Linked DNA regions of Arabidopsis thaliana. The protein of the gene in region 1 interacts with the protein of each later gene in a pairwise test. Each region holds a gene or a part of one and is shown in the gene's direction. Other genes may lie near its edges. The genes, in order: TPI, AT2G23093, AT2G38330 and AT3G61260.

The links.
Region 2: the proteins of TPI (region 1) and AT2G23093 interact in a protein complementation assay, tested with the Arabidopsis thaliana proteins (one large-scale study listed by BioGRID).
Region 3: the proteins of TPI (region 1) and AT2G38330 interact in a protein complementation assay, tested with the Arabidopsis thaliana proteins (one large-scale study listed by BioGRID).
Region 4: the proteins of TPI (region 1) and AT3G61260 interact in a protein complementation assay, tested with the Arabidopsis thaliana proteins (one large-scale study listed by BioGRID).

What each region holds. Positions count from the first base shown.
Region 1 is NC_003074.8:20,551,654-20,557,086, forward strand, and holds TPI (triosephosphate isomerase), read left to right. Parts: upstream 1-1,749; 5' UTR 1,750-2,140; coding exon 2,141-2,179; intron 2,180-2,506; coding exon 2,507-2,582; intron 2,583-2,872; coding exon 2,873-2,996; intron 2,997-3,340; coding exon 3,341-3,425; intron 3,426-3,519; coding exon 3,520-3,652; intron 3,653-3,830; coding exon 3,831-3,925; intron 3,926-4,035; coding exon 4,036-4,114; intron 4,115-4,200; coding exon 4,201-4,283; intron 4,284-4,374; coding exon 4,375-4,425; 3' UTR 4,426-4,907; downstream 4,908-5,433. Other genes in the region: AT3G55430 (O-Glycosyl hydrolases family 17 protein), read right to left, coding at 1-351.
Region 2 is NC_003071.7:9,830,055-9,835,284, forward strand, and holds AT2G23093 (Major facilitator superfamily protein), read left to right. Parts: upstream 1-1,977; 5' UTR 1,978-2,138; coding exon 2,139-2,337; intron 2,338-2,494; coding exon 2,495-2,639; intron 2,640-2,717; coding exon 2,718-2,886; intron 2,887-2,978; coding exon 2,979-3,237; intron 3,238-3,314; coding exon 3,315-3,403; intron 3,404-3,601; coding exon 3,602-3,784; intron 3,785-3,877; coding exon 3,878-3,963; intron 3,964-4,066; coding exon 4,067-4,151; intron 4,152-4,227; coding exon 4,228-4,362; 3' UTR 4,363-4,685; downstream 4,686-5,230. Other genes in the region: AT2G23090 (Uncharacterized protein family SERF), read right to left, coding at 1-37, 145-220; P4H13 (2-oxoglutarate (2OG) and Fe(II)-dependent oxygenase superfamily protein), read right to left, coding at 4,712-4,795, 4,878-4,997, 5,075-5,140.
Region 3 is NC_003071.7:16,062,857-16,067,966, forward strand, and holds AT2G38330 (MATE efflux family protein), read left to right. Parts: upstream 1-1,646; 5' UTR 1,647-1,714; coding exon 1,715-1,929; intron 1,930-2,009; coding exon 2,010-2,119; intron 2,120-2,205; coding exon 2,206-2,358; intron 2,359-2,461; coding exon 2,462-2,583; intron 2,584-2,685; coding exon 2,686-2,821; intron 2,822-2,973; coding exon 2,974-3,070; intron 3,071-3,168; coding exon 3,169-3,269; intron 3,270-3,347; coding exon 3,348-3,511; intron 3,512-3,651; coding exon 3,652-3,723; intron 3,724-3,811; coding exon 3,812-3,928; intron 3,929-4,009; coding exon 4,010-4,105; intron 4,106-4,191; coding exon 4,192-4,313; intron 4,314-4,401; coding exon 4,402-4,462; 3' UTR 4,463-4,581; downstream 4,582-5,110. Other genes in the region: DREB19 (Integrase-type DNA-binding superfamily protein), read right to left, coding at 4,591-5,110.
Region 4 is NC_003074.8:22,674,552-22,678,665, reverse strand, and holds AT3G61260 (Remorin family protein), read left to right. Parts: upstream 1-1,814; 5' UTR 1,815-1,964; coding exon 1,965-2,184; intron 2,185-2,586; coding exon 2,587-2,640; intron 2,641-2,721; coding exon 2,722-2,809; intron 2,810-2,898; coding exon 2,899-2,980; intron 2,981-3,068; coding exon 3,069-3,263; 3' UTR 3,264-3,605; downstream 3,606-4,114. Other genes in the region: AT3G61270 (O-glucosyltransferase rumi-like protein (DUF821)), read right to left, coding at 1-155, 259-396.

The sequences.
Region 1 (5,433 bases):
TGAGATATACTTAATCTTCGTCTGAGGATGAAACGGCAAAATGTTAACCGAAACCCACCGACGAGCTTGTCTTCCGTTAGCCAACGCCGGAATATCACCGTTAGGAACGGTGACAACGACGGAGATACCAGTTCCAGCGAAGGCACGTAGGATATCGGGATTCACATCGAAGATCTTGACGCTATCAATCGAAGTTTGTGTCTTGATAAAGTTAGCCACCTGAGTCGGTGGTGGGAGGTTTCCGAGAGTTCCGTAGTTAACACCGATGGCGGAGATCACGGCGGGGATGGTGAGGAATACGGCGGCGCAGAGGAGGAGGAGAAGAGAGATTGACGGTGGCGCTTTGGCCATCTTTTTATATTTCGGAAATGAGAAAACCAAACGATTCCAAGTGAAACCCGTGAATCGTTTGAGTTGTGTTTTTATTATTACGACGAATAGATTTTTTTATTCTTATCGAGAAAGTATTTATAATAAAAATTAATAGATATGACCGTTTTGTATAGCGTATACGTGTGTATATTTTTAGTGAGGAACAGCTGGATTTTGTGGAAAGCAAAATAAAAGAAGAAGTTTGTGTTGTCTTTGTTTTTCATGTGCGTCGGCTTAAATTTAGGCCGTTGTAAATTATTGAAAAAGTGGATTTTGTTGTGACCGTGGAAACTTTAGTTAATTAATTTGGCTAATTATAGAGTCTGCTTTTGTTTGGATAATCAATTTGTCATCTTTTTCTTTAATGGTTTTTGGCTGGTAAATACTCATACTATCCAAGTTTAATCTAAAAATATACCTCTTTCTTGTTAATCGTAATTTTACAATCCTAATTTTATCCAGATACGGATGAACTATATTTGAAAAAAAGGAACTAAAGTGAAGTTAAGAAAACAAAAGAGAGATCGAGTGTTGTTTTTTCTTGGATACGTTTATTAAAAGATGTTCTTAATGAGGTCAAAGGAGACTATCTGAGTTTTTACTGCTAAACTTAAAACTAAAAAAAAAATCGATTAGTAATATTGATGTATCAACGAAATGTATATGGTTAAATATTAAGTGAAAAGAAAAAGAAGAGAGATCGACGCGGTTTGGGATAATGCCATTGGCCCATTGGACACGTGTTTGTAGGAGGAATAGTTTGGAGTTTGAACACTACGGACCAAAGTCAAAGAGATTCGAAGTATGAAGATGTTGTTGAGGAAGCTGATTCGAAGTAACTTTTACCGACACGCTTTAGCCATTTGTTATGCTTTCTTTGGGAAAAGAAGATCCGCGTCCATGTCTCATTGTTAACAGTTTATTGTCATTTTCAATGACATGGTTACACTCATTGCACACACACACAAACCACGTAATTTTGTATTTTTTTAATTAAATCCCATCCTTATTTTTTGCAATAACAAATTACCATTGTTACTTTTTAATGATATCACATAAAATAATCGATGCCACTCGATAGCCCTTTAGACTAACAATATGTTTGTTGAAGTATGCCACAATGTTTGAAGTGAGCCGGCTCAATGCTCTCATGGTGGTTTAGTAGTTTAACTTGAGAACTTACAACAGTTTTCTCCTTCTCCACACTATTTGTATCCAAGAAGGGGCATTACAATATAGAATTGCATAATACGATTTAAACTTTTACCAAAAAAAAAAAAGAAAAAAAAAGAAAGAATTGCGTAATACAGAATTTATCTTTAAGGGAATACAAATATAATTTGGTTTCAGAATCATCTCAATAGGCTTTCCTTTAACCAAACTTGGGTTTTATTGATGTGCTTGCTTTAATGGGCCTAAAGCCCATACAACAGCATCACTATCCACGCCGTTGTCTATTCTTATTATTCACCCCACCCGGTACACCGACCAAACCTTGGCCAACACGTCCATAATATTTCATCCTCCCTCCTAATTTACTTTAATATCCTCAACTTTCCTAATCGTTCAGGGAATATTCTCATATACCCTAGACATATGCGTCTTTTCCAATCTAAAATGTTGAGAGTATATTTTTATTTATATATATATGAGTGACCCCTGCGAGAGACAACGGCCACTGAACACTATCGATCTAATCTTTTCAGCTCTCTCCATCGTCGTCGTATCTGTGACTCTCGTGATCATCGCCTGAAAAAAATTTGAGATAATGGCCAGAAAGTTCTTCGTCGGAGGCAACTGGAAATGTGTAAGTGATCTTTACCTTCTATTGCGCACCTTATTATTAGTCTTGTCACTTGATCCTTCCCCGATCAAGTCAAAGAGATCGGAAAATCCCGATCTTAAGATCTAAGGTTTTTTTCATTATTTGTAGCGGTGGAATTTGAATTGTAATGCATATGGTTCAGATTTGTCGATTCTATGCCGGATCTTAGTTGTTTTTTTTTGTCAAAATTTTGAGTAGGAATTTTTCTTCAATTGATATCTCGTGTTCTAGCTTTGGTGGATCCGTGTGTTAATTTTGTTGGTTAAACTATTTTAACATGTTAATATTTGAATTTGTAATCTTATATAGAACGGAACTGCTGAGGAGGTGAAGAAGATTGTGAACACTCTTAATGAAGCTCAGGTTCCTTCACAGGATGTTGTAGGTATGTGTAGCATCTCAATTGCTTTGACGACATTATGGCTTTTTTTTTAATTTCCATGTCTATGAAATCTTAAGTAGTGACAAATATTTTGGGCATACAATTACAAACCTGTTTCAATGTACATCGATGTTCTATAGTGTTTATGCTTCTTAGGAACCATGGATAGATCTAGTGTTTGTTGTTAGTTAAAATGTTCTTTATCATATACTTGTTATGGTTCTATCTTTGTTGATAGTTATAAGTATGTTTGTTCTTGTATTAATAATTTGATGAAATTTTACTAAATGCAGAGGTTGTGGTTAGCCCTCCATATGTTTTTCTTCCCCTGGTTAAGAGCACATTGAGGTCTGACTTTTTTGTTGCGGCACAAAACTGTTGGGTTAAGAAAGGAGGTGCTTTCACTGGTGAAGTGAGGTGAGATTCTAACCATTGGTGTATACTTTAAGCTGTTTTACCATTATTGCTTCATGCAGTAAATATTTATGGTTTTGAAAATGAATATGATTGTGTTTATAAACGAATCGATTTTTCCATCTGTTCTTCTTCTTTATCTTCTTTCCTATAAGAATTGTGTAACCTAAGTGATTAAGAAAACAACTAGTAGTTGGTAGTAAGACCATGATTGGATTCGTGCCTGGTTAGACAAGTAGGTGTAATATGATTTACCTGTCTATGGAATGCTTTCATAGGAAGAAAAGATATATTCTGTGGTGCCTGTATTTCCTGCTCTTATGCATTGTGTAATTTGTGTGTTTTAGTGCGGAGATGCTTGTGAACTTGGATATTCCATGGGTTATCCTTGGTCACTCTGAAAGGAGGGCAATCCTTAATGAATCAAGCGAGGTTGGTGACTTTACATGATAAAATAATTTTCTGGAGACTCAAATAGCTTTTAAATTCATGATTTTGGTTTTTGACCTCTATCCTACATTTGTAGTTCGTCGGAGACAAGGTTGCCTATGCACTTGCTCAAGGTTTGAAAGTGATTGCTTGTGTTGGTGAGACTCTTGAGGAGCGGGAAGCTGGATCGACCATGGATGTTGTGGCTGCCCAGACCAAGGCTATTGCCGGTATGTATATTGTCAAACATTTAATCTCTTTTTGCTATCTCAGTTCGTTCTCGTTTACAGTGAGACCTGTTTTGATGATAGTGATGCCCGTTTCTACGCACTATACTCCCTTAGTGTGTGATTCAAACCCCACAGAAATATTTGTTGGCTAAAAAACTCTTTTTGTTGGTAATGGCAGATCGGGTGACAAACTGGTCAAATGTTGTCATAGCCTATGAACCAGTGTGGGCCATTGGAACCGGAAAGGTCGCTAGCCCAGCCCAAGCTCAAGAAGTAAGTGGTTCTCGATGCGCAGTTGCACTGTAACGTGTTGCATATGGTCATGATTTAATAGGAAAACCAATGCTGTTTTCCTTACGAGAGCTTGTTTCGTTTATGAACAGGTACACGATGAGCTGAGGAAATGGCTGGCCAAGAACGTGAGTGCTGATGTCGCTGCTACAACCCGCATCATTTATGGAGGTAGATAGATGATAACACGATCTTTAATTAAACACCCCTATATAGTTTTCTATGTTACTTAGCTTGATTATGCAAATTATTATCAGGATCCGTCAATGGTGGTAACTGCAAGGAGCTAGGTGGACAGGCCGATGTTGATGGTTTCTTGGTCGGTGGTGCTTCTCTAAAGGTACATATAATATGGTTTCTCTTGTAATGATATCTTTCGTTTGTCTCTTTCAAAACCATGACTAATGTTTTCATTCTTGGTCTTTTTGCAGCCTGAGTTTATCGACATCATTAAGGCCGCAGAGGTGAAGAAAAGTGCCTAATGAGCTCATTAAGCAATTTAAAAGTCCTTTGCTTTTCCAGTCGCAACTCTGAAAAAATGAATAAGTTGGTATTATGATATGATACATTTTGCTTCAGTTGTATTTGGCAAAAGTTTCTCTCTTACTATATTGTTTTGAGAACGCAACAATCATTTTCTTCGCCATTTATTTAGCTGTGGACTTGCAATTTGCAAATCCCTTCCTTTTACAGTCTTCTCAACTCTTCAGAGAATCTGTGTTTGGAGTTCATAACCCCTCGGGCCTTTTGATCAAACCCCTATTTCTAATGTCGTCCGATCATAAACCTGTGTGTTATATAATATGTTGTTTGTTCCATTTTAGACTTTGGTATTTTGTCATGCTTGATCTCTGAATCATGCTGTCAACCACTTTGAAAATGGCTTTACTTGTTAAATAAATGACGAGAGAATACAGGAGAAGTGGGAAATGACTTTATTTTTTCCCTTTTATCGCTTTTTGCCTATTGGTCTGTCATTTTTGACATTTTAGCTTTTAGAACATTATTATTTTCAACTTTATTGTCATCATCTTGAAAAATGTCCAACATTACGAAATTATTATGTAGAGAGTAAAAAAGGAAAAGAAATTTCATGGAGAAACTCATTGTATTAGGAATGTCAATGTTTGTAGAAAACAAAATGCTTATGTAATTTGAGTAAAACGGCTCAGTGGAACTAAAGTGATAATGTAAAAGAGACGGTTAAGTCCAAAATAAGAGCTCCCGTATGTCAGAATTGTTCAAACCATTTATTAAAAAATTGGACTCAGTATGATGAAAATGTGTATGGATTTTGATCCGACCACGAAAATCCAACTAGTGCCAATAAAAACTCCACAATATGTGACTCAGCTACAAATGTGATAACGTATTATCTCCCAAGTCAACCCACATTTCTGGTGACTTATATTTTATTTATTTCTGAGTAATATTTAAGAAAGTAGGGATTGAATTTTTATGAGTATTATATTATATAGTTGACCTTGGAC
Region 2 (5,230 bases), on another chromosome or scaffold:
ATCGACATAGCTTTCTTGTTAGCTTCCAATTGGCTACCTATAAGAGAGATCAAATACAAAAATCATTAAGAAACACGATTTTACGGCTAAAATCTCCATCTTTGAAATTGACTAAAAACCCCTAAAATTGAATCTGGTTGTTACCTTTTCCTGCAGCCTTAGCCTTCTCCAAGTTTTTGGCACGAGCCATGGCTGATTTCTGTGCGTTTCCTCCACCCATCTTTCTGATCGATTAGAAGAAGAACTCAAACCCTAATTTTTCAGAAGAGGAAGAAGAGAAAAATACGAAATGGAATTTTTATGCCGACTCTAATGTGAAAAGATTTATATGAGAAAGAAAAAAACGATGCCACTTGATTCTTTTTCTGTAATGTCCACTTACATTTAATTCGCCTACTCACCAATCACCTAAAGTTATTTTGGATTCTAGATAATTCAACATAATGGGCCTTCGGACTTATTATCCATTTAAGGCCCGTTAAAACAAGAACCTTTAACGTTTAAACGACTGAGGTTTTTTTTTTTTTTTTGGTCTGAATAAATCAGTTGACCAACACACAAATATGTTTTCAATCTAAACCAAGAAAAAGATTCTTTTTTGCTAATTGATAACCTGTACAGTTTATCTTATTCAAAGGAATTGAGACACTCACTCATTCATGCAAAATGATAGGATTAATATTATTCAGGGAGTGAGTGGTTTATATTGTTAACTTCTAAAAAAACTAAAACAAAACAGAATTTACAATTAAAAAATTAAAAATAAAGGAAAATTATTTTTTTGTTGTTTTAGGACAGACTCTAGTAAATGTCAATTTTATTAGGTCTCTATAAGCTATAACCTACACGATTTATCTTCTTCAAAAAAAATGAGTCACTCACTCACACAAAATATGACCGCTTTTTATTGATTGCACGAGCTAACTACTACCTTGTCTATTGAGTATAAGAGAGCAAATGATGGTATAGCAATGAACATCGAGATGATACTAAGAAAGATTGTCCGAAGAATCTCGATAGTAGTTCGAGCTATCAAACTTTAGAGGTTTAACTCACACTAACGCTCGTTTAGTAGACAACTCGTCAGTCAATTGATTTCACCCGGCGAATGAGTGGTTTCTATTGTTAACTTCTAGAAGAATTCATTTTGATTTTTTCTAGATGATTCCGTAATTTTGACATCTAACATATGATTTCATCATATTCTTTTCGGCCAAAACATGATTCAGAAATTTTAACATAAATTCAAATTGGGCAAAAAATCAAAATTTGGAAATGATTATTTTGTAATTTCTGTTTTAAATTATTATTGTGTTTTGATGCATATGCTATAAATTTTATCTCAAAATTATGGCTTCTTGAAATCTGGATTTGAGAATCTTGCATATTTCATGTTAAACCTTGAAAAATATGCAACATCATGAATCCTCATTATCCATTAGTTCTCATAAAATCTTATCTATTTTACTGAAATTTCCTAAGTATTTGAAAGAAAAACCTACAAAATCATAATTTTCATCAACATCATGATAATTTGGATTTCGCACCAAATTCGAATTATCTTGAAAATTGAACTCCATAATCTTCTAGTATTTCCATTGGTCTCACAAAATCGTTGTGGCCAAGATAATGTTTTAGGATCGAAGAGTAATTAAAAGAGCGATAAATATTTTCTTAAAAAGATCTAAGAGAGATTCAAATATCTAAAAAATCAATTTTTCATATTTGATATACATCTTTGGCGATTAGTTGCGTTGTGGTGAATTCAAACATCTAGAAACAACCAACGTTAAATCTTTGCTATGAACTTGAATTTTTTTGTTGCACACACATATAAGAAAGAAAAAAAAAAGACTAAAAAACATGTTCAAAAAAATGTGAAAGGCGATGTCAATGGTCAAGAAATATTATACAAAAACAAATTGTAACAAAATTTTGTGTAGCTTACTTCAACTTAAGACTATTTTTTGGGTGGGATAGTTATTGGGCCTTTTGGCCTGATAATAATATTGGGCTTCATTTCTTTTTGTGCACCACTTACATCAGTCAAGATCTCAAATTCTCTCCGACGTAATTGAGTTTTTTTGTTTGTTCTTTTACTTCTTTCTCCGGCTGATTTACCGGTGAATTTTGGATCGATGGGTGTCGTTATTGAGACCTTTATTTGGGAACCAAGCTCAAGCTTCTTCATCTTCTTCTTCGTTTCCACATTTTTATCGATATCTCTGTTTCCTTACTTGGCCAAAAACAGAACTTTTGGTAGCTTTGATCATTCTATTTCCTCTTCTTTCGCTCGGTTCCAGAGATGGTTTCTAGCTATCTACACTCTCTCTTCAGGTACATCATTAGATTTCTTCAGTTGGGTCTACAGATTTTTATCTGTATCTATGGTGCTTTCAATTTCTGGTTTCGAAAGCTTTCAACTTTTGCCTTTTCTCGTCTATCAAAATGGATCCTTTGCTACAATTTGAATTCTTTGATTGGAATGTGGCAGTGATGGAAGGTTTATTGTCAGTGTATGGAGAATTGGAGTTAACAACTTATGGCTTAAGTAAAGAATCAATGGTGTTTTATCTCTGTGTTGGTTATTCGACCGCTCTTGTTCTTGGTCCTGTACTTGGTGTGGTTTCTGATCTCATGTAAGTAGCTTTTAGTAAAATGTTGATCAAAGTGTTTTCATTTTGTGCTAGTAATGATAAATACCGAAACTTTTGTAGAGGTCAGAAGAAAATTTGTCTACTCTATTGTGTCTTGCACCTTATTGTTGGTGTGTGGAAGAGGATTACAATGAGTCCTAGTGCTTGGTTTGCAAATGTTTTTCTCTCCCTTGCTGGTCTTGTATATTCATTTGGGTTTGAGACTTGGCTTGTTGTGGAACATGAAAAGGTATATGGATTGGTCATTGCATTTGAGTTTTTATTATTAGATAATCAATGTTCTGATTTTGTAATGATGTTCTGTGTCTTGTATCTTTGTAGCAAAGTCAGAGGAATGACTCGTTAAATGAGACATTCTGGTTGATGACTTTTCTTGAGTCTGCATCTTTAATTGGAGGTCAAGTTCTTGCAAATTGGCTTGTGGGTGAAAATGTTCAGGATGGGATTGCATTATCTGCTACGGCGTCTCTGCTCTTGTCTGTTGTGACTATTATTTGTATTGTCCAGACTGCAAAAGAGCCGTTGAAGACCCTTCCGTTTAGGGATTATTCCACAGCTTTCTATGCGTATGTTCTTGGTGGTAAGATTTTGTCTTCATCTATTCAGTTAAAATTCCTGAAAGAGTATACGCTAATCTTAGCTTGTTAATGTGATCAGACAAAAGAATATGGTTTCTGGGAACTTCACAAGCCTGTCTTCAGTTTTCCACTGCAGTCTTTTGGATTCTGTGGGCACCAACAATAGTGGTATGATTAAGCTTCCTAATATAATATTTGCAGTTGCTTGAACCAAATTTTATATTTCAGAAATCAAATTAGCAATGATGGTTACTGTCATTTGATGTTTAGGACCTCCAGTGATTCCCTAATTGGCCTTTAGATGATAAAATTATTGGTATTTATTTCTCGACAATGGAATGATTAAAATGAGTTATGTTTGTTTAGGCTGATGGGCGTGAAGTGAATCTGGGATTGATATATCCATGTTTCTTGGGTTCAAGAATGCTTGGGAGTACTGTATTCCCATGGCTAATGAGTGGACAATCATTGCTCCGGCTTGAAGATTGCTTAGTCTACATATACGCACTACTTGGGATAGTGTTTTCTATAGTAGCCTATGATTATCAGGTAACTTATTTGCTTGTTTCACAAAAGTGTACCAGTGAAAAACTTATTTGCTTCATATGGAAGGCCTCACGCATAAAAGACCATATCCTGCAGGAAATCCGAATCTTAGTAGTACTTTTCTGCTTATTTCATGGCTTTGCTGGACTGGCACTTCCTTTGCTTGCAAGATTAAGAACAATGTAATGCTCTTATATATTTTTCCTTATTATTCATCAGAGACATTCTTTGTTAGTAGAAGAACCTTTCTTCTCTGTTGTAACGGACTGTTATCTTTATTTATAGGTATGTACCAAATGAATTGCGTGGAGGGATGATAAGCCTCTCTCAAGTTCCAGCCAATGCAGCTATTTTGTTTTTCTTAATCCAGGTTTGTGCTATCAAAAACACAATTGTTAACCTATTTTGCTTCTGTTTCTGTTACCTTACCGATCTTAATATTGCAGAGAGGCTACTCTAACAAGATCGAGAACTCAACAATGATGGCTCTTGGTGCCATTTCTTTATTCACTGCATCTGGTTGTATATATATGTTGAGACGATGGGGAAAGTCACCACACCATGATTGGCACAAATTATGATCCTGAGTAACTCGTGGTCTCTGGTTATGATACTTATGCGGAAGCAGGACAAGGCAAAACGAAGATAAATCTACTGGAAACTCAAGTTGGTCTATGATCTTGTGTTAATGGTCTCGCTTCGATTTTGTAGCAGCATGAAGTGAGGAAACACAAAACCTTGGAAGTTCAAAGATGCAATGAAAGCAGTATAAGAGGTTTGATTATTAGTTTAAGAGGATTCTATTATTTTAAATGATTGTTTGATTCATGTCTTATTAAGATCATCTCCTTTGGACCTTTTAGGCATTATTGTTTTACTAGTAAATATGAATGAAATTTTTACAAGTTACAAGTCAAATCTGAATTATCTTCAATCATATGTTTGGTCTCTTATCCATTTGGTGGCAACCCATTTCTCACCCTTGATAACAGGACAGCTTCCATGTAGAGATGTCTGCAACAACAAACCCAAAATTCTGAGAAAGATCAAACATTTTATGTCTTAAATGAGGTTTTTGATTGTCAGGAACACTAACTTGATCGATCGTTCCATTTGGAAACAAATTGTAGAAGAAAATGGCGTCTCCTTGTCGCGGCTTTACTTTCAGACCAACACACTTCTCATAATCATATCTTCCATTCATATTTCTCCCATTCTGCTTCCACAAAACCATTCTGTTTTACAACTCAAAATCCCAACCATGTTAAATCGAAAGAAAGAAACAATGATTACCTCGAATGGGAACATCGTCTCTCCACCTTCTTCGACACTCGATAAGAACAATAGGAAAGTCACGACCTGCATTCATATGTTGAGCCATGAGTGGAGGATCAACAGATGGTAGTTTTGAATCAACTTTAATAAAATCCGAAGCAAGAAAACGAAGTT
Region 3 (5,110 bases), on another chromosome or scaffold:
ATATTTATGGTCCGGAGTTCTAACCAAAGATAGTTGCTCTGTATATAGAAGTTATACATCTCGCTTGTTTAAACTAAATAACTATTTAGTTTGTCTTGGTAGTCCAGTGACTTTCTGCAAACATTGGGATTTATAATATAGTCAAAACGTTGGGATATGTAGTATTCATTTTCGTTGTAAAAATCATTATATTTTGCAAAGGTTGCAACGTAAAACGTTGTATTGAATTTAGGAGAAAGTAGCCATTTACAATGAATTTTAGTGACAAACTGTTGTATACAGCCTGTGCCACTAAGTATGTCTATATCTAAATTTGGAATGGATGATAACCAGTATTGGTCAATAATGGATAATTTGGTATTTAGAATTACTAATTTGGTATTTTAGTGACAAACTGTTGTATGGAATTTAGGAGAACGCGTTCCCAAGCTATATATTATATGTATTTCATTCTTTCATATGTTATATTATGAATTGTTATAAAAAAGACCAATGAGCAACGGTTTAAGGTTTAATCAGTAATCGATCCGACCAATCATATACAAGTTCCTAACACATCTTCTAACTACTGAGTAAAATAGTAATGCTATTACAAAGGTTTTTTCTTTTCAAAATACAGCCTAATGCTACTACAAAATTCTAATGTTATAAAATAATCATAGGAGAAGTAAACCCCGGTATTTAATTAATACCTTACAAACTTACATTATTGATAAAGTTGAATGAAGAGTTATATGGTCCATTTAGTATTATTTACTTAATATGATACTAGTGTTAGACGTGTTACTGTATTTCAACGTGCATAATCAGGTTGTTCAAAAAGAGAGAGGATAGGTCTTCTTCTTCTGTAATTTGCTGGGACCGCAAGTCATGTGAGGCTGCTCTGCTGATGCTGCACGGCGTCGCAACTCTCTCAATAAATTCTTTTAACTAACGCTCCAATTTTCGATGTAAATTGGCTGACTTCAATTCTATGCCTTACTCTTGTACTCTATGTTTCTTTATCTATTAAAATCCAACTCTGCTTTTGAACCCAAAAAACAAAACAAAAACCAACTCTGCTGAATCATGAAACACGTCCTTGATCTTTATTTTTATTTTTTCCCAATATATGCTCTTAAGAACTAGTTATTGCTTTTGAACCCAAAAAAAGAATTCTGAGTTTTAGGATATCAAATGATCTTACAACTTTCTATATCAAGATTCTTGAACACTAGATATGCGGATTTCAAATATACTCCCAAAAATCAAAATATGCGGACCTATAATCCAAATTTGGATCCATTCAAAAAACAACTAAACAAAATTTTAAGTGTATAAAAAAAATGCAAATCCAAGTCACAAGATAACTGGAGAAAGAGATATTTCTTTTGAGTTGTTGCTAAATTGAGAAAGTGAGTGATAATACACGAATCAAACTCATGACTTACATATGAGAGTCACGGCACAACAAAGAAAAAAGATGAAGCTATCTTAAAGATACAAAGTGTAACATTGGCAGAAAAAAAAACAAAAAACAAAGTAACAAACAAACAAGCTATTTAAAAGCCCAATAAAAAGCCCATTAAAGGCCCATCCATAAGGTACAGCTAGTTTAGACATGTGACCGTTTAATCAGTTAGTGAGTAGAGATAGATAAAAAGAGTGAACATCAACATGTGGCTCTCTTTCTTCCTCCTCCGCCGAGATTTTTCTCCGTCTCTCGTTCTCCGCAATGGCGGCGGTCGCTACCTCCTTCTGTTTCTCTCCCCATCGATCGCCGTCACGTTTTGGAAACCCTAATTCATCCATTCGAAGAACAATCGTCTGTAAATCATCTCCTCGCGATGAATCTCCAGCCGTCTCCACTTCTTCTCAGCGACCGGAAAAGCAGCAGAATCCTCTGACTTCACAGAATAAACCGGATCATGATCACAAACCGGATCCTGGGTTCGTACCTTAGCCTAATAATGCTTCTTCTGTATTCAACTTTGAATGGTTTCTAATGTATTTGATTTTTTTGGGTTTAGGATTGGTAAAATTGGAATGGAGATAATGTCAATTGCATTACCTGCTGCATTAGCTTTAGCTGCTGATCCTATAACATCTCTTGTCGACACTGCCTTCGTTGGCCATATTGGTAAATACTTACTTTTTGCTTGGTTTCAACAATTTCACATTTTTCGAAAGTTCACATTTTTAACATTCATATGTGTAATGTGACAGGTTCTGCGGAATTAGCTGCAGTAGGAGTGTCAGTTTCTGTATTCAATTTGGTGTCGAAGCTCTTCAATGTTCCTTTACTAAATGTCACAACATCGTTTGTTGCGGAGGAGCAAGCAATTGCTGCTAAGGATGATAATGATTCTATAGAAACAAGTATTTTACTTTCCTTAAAGCTTATAATGAAAAATGTTTTTATTGTTTTCTTCAAAGATTGTTTCTTTACTTTGAATCTGTTGTTTATTTGTTGGTGTTAAAGGCAAGAAAGTGCTGCCTTCGGTTTCAACTTCATTAGTTCTTGCTGCTGGAGTTGGTATTGCAGAGGCCATTGCGCTATCTCTCGGGTCTGATTTCTTGATGGATGTCATGGCTATACCTTTTGTAATGTCTCTAAGCTCACGTTGAACTTCTTTTATATAAGCTGTTATCTTTGAAGTTTTGTATAGCTGATCGCTCTTCTTTCTCGGTTTGTAATTTTTTTAGGATTCACCAATGCGGATACCAGCAGAGCAGTTCCTCAGACTTCGAGCGTATGGTGCACCACCAATTGTTGTTGCATTGGCTGCGCAAGGAGCTTTTCGAGGTTTCAAGGACACAACAACGCCTCTATATGCCGTTGGCAAGTATTGCACAATCATCTATTTTTTTTGTATTTATGCATGAATGGATCTGAGGAAATAAATAGTATATGCGCATTAGCTCACTAGACCGTATATATGCATTAGCAGTTTCACATACATGTTTCTAATATGGTGAACTCTATATCAACAGTTGCGGGGAATGTACTTAATGCGGTATTGGATCCAATCCTGATATTTGTCCTTGGTTTTGGTATCTCTGGTGCTGCGGCTGCTACTGTGATTTCTGAGTATGTCCAAAAATGTGGTAATAGACTCGTTTTCTAGTAAAGCATATCTATCTTAATTTGTGGCTTCTTATGTTTCTCACTTGTCAACGTTTCTTCAGATACTTGATTGCATTTATTCTTCTATGGAAGTTGAATGAGAATGTAGTTTTGCTCTCTCCTCAAATCAAAGTGGGAAGAGCCAACCAGTACCTCAAATCAGGTAATTCCTTAAAATTTTCAAGTTTTCTTTAAACGATTCAGAAAGGCTACTATATGAAATGTATTGATTCATGCTTAGGTGGGCTTCTCATTGGTAGAACGGTGGCTTTGCTTGTGCCATTCACATTAGCTACTTCGTTAGCAGCTCAAAATGGACCCACTCAAATGGCTGGCCATCAAATCGTCTTGGAAATCTGGTTGGCTGTCTCTTTACTCACCGATGCTTTAGCCATTGCTGCACAGGTCTAATATCTTTTGCAAATCATCTTCGAAACAGACAATCTCTACCAAGATTTACTGTGATATAAGAATCCCATTAGCATGATCCAAGATTACCTTTTGGGGAGAAGATTTTCACTTATATTTTCTACCTCTATTTTCAGAGTCTTCTTGCCACCACTTACTCTCAAGGAGAATACAAACAAGCCCGGGAAGTTCTCTTCGGAGTCCTTCAAGTTCGTATTCATAATTCATTACATCCCTAGTTTATATCCTACCCTATATATTCGATGTTATAATGTACAATTGCAATCTTTTAAGTAGGTAGGTTTAGCAACTGGAACTGGTTTGGCTGCTGTATTGTTCATCACTTTCGAACCATTTTCAAGCTTATTCACAACGGATTCAGAAGTTTTAAAGATTGCTTTGTCAGGGACCTTAGTAAGATCTTATCTTTTAATCCAGAAAGAGTTTGAAAAGGGTAGTCTCAGACAATATCTAAATAATGTTGGCTGGATGCAGTTTGTGGCTGGATCTCAACCGGTGAATGCTCTAGCGTTTGTTTTGGATGGGCTCTATTATGGTGTCTCTGACTTCGGATTTGCCGCTTATTCTATGGTCCCTTTTCCTTCTTCATCAATTGGTCGTTTGATTCTCCCTTTTCTTCACCTGGAAAAAGTTGATTATTTCTCATTTTGGAACAGGTGATTGTCGGATTCATATCTTCCTTGTTCATGCTTGTGGCTGCACCAACGTTTGGCCTTGCCGGGATCTGGACTGGTTTGTTCCTCTTCATGGCGTTGCGGTTGGTTGCTGGAGCCTGGAGGTAAACAATTAATTAAAAAGACCGTTCTAGTTTCAAGTTTTCAACCCATCCGAAATTTTTCTTAAAAGGATACTGCGTCATGTTTCAGATTGGGGACAAGAACCGGTCCATGGAAAATGCTATGGTCTGCTCCAGAGAAGCCAGAATGAAGCGGATCACTGTTTTTTGCGGTATGATGCGTGACTCTTAAGTTAAGATAAATGAAAATGGAGTAAACTAACAATGTAAAAAACATAGTCTCATAGTCATAGTATATTGATGCAGCATAAATCCTAAGCTAGAATCTGAAATACTCAAAATATGAATCGAATCCACCTCCCTGGTGATAACTGGAGCTTTGAGGTTCATTATACAACAATCCGTTATCCAATTTGAATCGATCATAGCTGTAACCTTCCTCTGATTTCACTGCTGGGTTCACTATTTCATTATCAGTCATAGGATTCTGAGTCTTGTCATGGCCAAGCTCAATAGCGTCTTCATTGTAGACTACATAGTCTTTTCCACCTTCCGTTTCAATCACGCCATTACCGGCTTTGTTAGTTTCCAACCAATAGCCTCCCGAACTTTCCGCCTCCTCGTCCTTCTTCCTTCCCCCACCCAAATCTTCCGGGAAATTTAACCTGGCATAGGGTCCGTACATGACACTAGCAGCTCTGTCGTAAGCCAAAGCAGCTTCAGCTGCAGTAGCAAACGTGCCAAGCCAAAGCCGTTTACTACGACTAGAGTTTGCACCACGGTGACTCACTGGTTCACGTATCTCAGCAACCCATTTCCCCCAAACCCTTTGTCGAACA
Region 4 (4,114 bases), 2.1 Mb from region 1:
GGACACGTGGATGATTTTGAACTGTTGTTGGGGTTTAATCTCGATTTGCGGTTTTGTGAGATAGGAGTTTGACTTGATTGGTTCTGTACGAAGTCGCATCCGTAAGGATTTGGTTCTTTTGTCTTTGTTGTTAGCTTTAAACCTGCAAAAGCATTCTATAAAACAAAACAATAAGACAAATTATGATTATGATTAACGTTAACTACTGCGATTTATATTAAAGATAAACCAAGAATGTAAGGTGATATTAAAACCCACGAAATCGAGATAGCCCAGTAAGTCTAAGATAGCAGCTGAAATGAATAGAACGACGATGAAAACAGTAGCCTTCACGATGCTTTTTCGAGGAAATGTCACCGTTTTATTATGTTGGCCGTCGTTGTTATTCATCTTCATGCTTCTGTTTTGTGTTTATGTTGATGCACGAGTTTATGTAATAAAAGATTAACGAGAGAGCCGAGAGGATACATAAAAGGAGAATCAACAGAAACGCAACACAAAAGTATGAAGATAACAAAAAAAAAAACATGATATGACATCAAACTCATATATTTATTCCCTAAAACATACAATAAAGAAGTTTATTGTTTATAAGTAAGAGATGCATGTGATGTAATACAGGTCTAGAGATTTTGTTTTATGTTAATAGTATTTGTATAGACATTTTGTTTTAAGTGACGTATTATTTATTAGTATTTGTTTCCAGTAACATTAAATGGTATTAACATGGCACGGTCTAAGAAGTCAATATTTTCTAACTACCTCCAACTACGAGAGTGGACGTGCCAAATTGCACTTTTAGTTTTAGTAAGTACAACAAGATCAATAATGTAAGATGCACTTGATAATTAGGCACATTCCAGTCACTAACTCTTATCTTTGTCCATATAAGCCATTTTAAATTGTTTTTATTGACTTCTTTAAAGATAGCAAACACTAGTTAAACACACAAATCAAAGTTTTATAAGGTATGCGATATATTAATAACTGACGCTGTGAATGTGATTAGGCCTTTTCTGAAGTCATGCTTTTCCCACTTAGACATAACAATTTTACCTTCATCCCTATTCAGATGGAAACAGTTGGTTAAGATCGGTTTACGTCCATGGTTTGGATTTTGGAAGATATCATATCAGTGTTGGTTATAGGTAGGTGTTGTGTTAAGTGTTAACATCTCCCCTAATTTTTTTGTAAAATCAAAAGAGCTTCATTAAAAGTTACTAACTTCTATGCTTGATGTCTAGTGAGTAGTGACTTAGTTTAGTAATGGAACTTAAACTATGATATCTGTACAGTTGTACTAACGCTTCCGCATCATATAGAATGATAGAAAACAAATGTGTATTTACGGAGCGAATCTCGGAGTAGTTTGGATCAGTTTAGTCTTTTTGGAAAACAAATCCTGTCAGATAGCTTTTGGATCTTTCCTAAAAACCTCTAAATAAAGAATATGAATCGAGCCCAATAAATTAGGCCCATCTTATACGGCACGTCTTATACACGCGCTCCTACAAACATGGATAATATCCACGCGCCAATAGAGTGCGTGGGGTCACAACAACTCAGTATCTTATCTGTCTCCAGCGTGTCTTCCTCCACGTCACGCTTTCGTCCGACATATTATTATTTAAACAGAAAAACAATTTACTAATGAAAACAAATTGACATTTGCTTACGTGGCATATGTTTAACCGCATTACCTGTCTGTCGGCAAGCTGAATTTTTGTGTTCGGCTGCATCGCAGTTCACGTGGATACACAACAAATGGATTTATAACCGTAGGATCTGATGCCTTTATATATCAACGGATAATAAAATAAGGTATTTTTAACCCCAAAAAAACGCGGCTAATACGTATAAACATCTTTCTGTTGCTTGGAAATAATATCTTCAATTTTTCATATTTCGTTTTTAATTTGGTTTTCTTTTTTCCTCTCTATTTCTTCGGCTGAGAGGCGGCGACTATGGCGGAGGAACAGAAGATAGCGTTAGAATCAGAATCTCCGGCGAAGGTTACGACTCCTGCTCCAGCAGATACACCGGCTCCAGCTCCGGCAGAGATTCCGGCTCCAGCTCCAGCTCCGACTCCGGCTGATGTCACGAAAGACGTTGCAGAGGAGAAAATTCAAAACCCACCTCCGGAGCAAATTTTCGATGACTCCAAAGCCCTTACTGTTGTTGAGAGTAAGTTAATTTCTCTTAACGCATGTAATTATGGATTCTGTTCTCTGATAATCTTCTGCTTTGACGAGGAAATATTGGTTTTGGGGTTAACTTGGTTCTGTATTTTAAAAATTAGGTTTTATTGGTTATTAGGATTGGGTTGCTCCAGAGATAGAATTTGTCATTGAAATACGATTAGAGTGCACAGTTAAATTCGAATTCGTTTCGATTTAAAGTCTCGAGATTGGTAAATTTAGTTTTGTTGTGATGTATAATTCAATGTATATGGTCATTAAGCACCCAAAAATTGTAGCTTTATGTTCATAACCATGCATATGTTTTGTATGTGTTTGCTTGTGACTCTCTTCTGTGGCAATTTTGCTGGTTATGTTTGAAATTTTAACGGAATGAATTTTTTTACAGAACCTGTAGAAGAGCCTGCACCGGCGAAACCTGCGTCTGCATCGCTCGATAGAGGTGAGCTTAAACAAAATTGTGTGACTTCTTTCTGGATGTAATGTTTGTTAAAGTTTCTGAGTTCCATTGTTTGGTTTGTAGATGTTAAGCTAGCTGATTTGTCAAAGGAAAAGAGATTGTCTTTCGTCAGAGCGTGGGAAGAAAGCGAAAAGAGCAAAGCAGAGAACAAGTAAGACATTTTATTTTATCGTCACTGGTTTTAGGTTTTGGCTTTTTTATGTTCTTTGCCTGATTTTGCTGACTATTGACATGAAACAGAGCTGAGAAGAAGATTGCAGATGTTCATGCTTGGGAAAACAGCAAGAAAGCAGCTGTCGAAGCGCAACTCAAGAAAATCGAGGTATAATAAACTTAGCAATAGAGAGGTGAAACGGTTTTAATGTGATTGAGAAGTGAAGTGTTAATTTGTGAGTTTTTTCTCAATGCAGGAGCAACTAGAGAAGAAGAAAGCAGAGTATGCAGAGAGGATGAAGAATAAGGTTGCAGCGATTCACAAGGAAGCAGAAGAGAGAAGAGCAATGATTGAAGCTAAGCGTGGAGAAGACGTTCTTAAAGCAGAAGAAACGGCTGCTAAATACAGAGCCACTGGAATTGTTCCAAAGGCAACTTGTGGATGTTTCTAATCTTGAATTTGCGAATCAAAGTTTCAAGACTTCGTAACTGTAAAGTGTAATCAAATTTCTCTGTTCTCTTTAATGGCTTGTAATGTTGTTTGTATATTGATTTTGTGTGTGACAATCAGAGTGAAAAATATGTTTCATTGTTTTCTTTCCGCAATTTTCTCAAGCATTGTCACATCACATCATGGAGAGAAGATTGATGACTCAAGTCATTAAGAATATGAGGAGATTTTCTAAAGTTCTTCAACTAATAACAGTAGCTAATGGACCAAAAGAAATTCGAAGGACGGGATCCTAAGTTCAGTTTGTTTATAACGTATTTTTGAATGTAACACTTAAATTTAATTTCGTTTAAATTATAACAATTTTCTTCGAAAATTATTTGTGAAAAACATTAAAAGCTAACGAAATGTGAGATTTACAATACATGAAAAAATGTTGAACTAATAACACAAAACTTACAGACTAAAAGGACATGATGCTAAATCAGTTTTATTTTTACATCTTTAAATTAACACTTATGTCTAAAACATATTTCAAAATAAAAACAGTTTTAATAGTAAAAAACTTTGAGTTAAAAATGAAAACAATTTACTAATAATATTACTTGTGAAAAACCTTAAGTGTTAAATTTTGAATATGTGAAAACGTGTTAAATTTAATGAAATCACAATACTTACAAACAAAAAAAGACGGAATGCTAAATCCGGTTCTTTTACGTAACTAAATTAGTTTACACAAAATTTAAAAATTTAATACATATCCAAAATTTAAAAATTAAATAGTAATTTAAAAAATATTAGTTTTAAAATAATTAATAAAAGAAAAACAAGTGTTAAAAAGGAAATAATTTA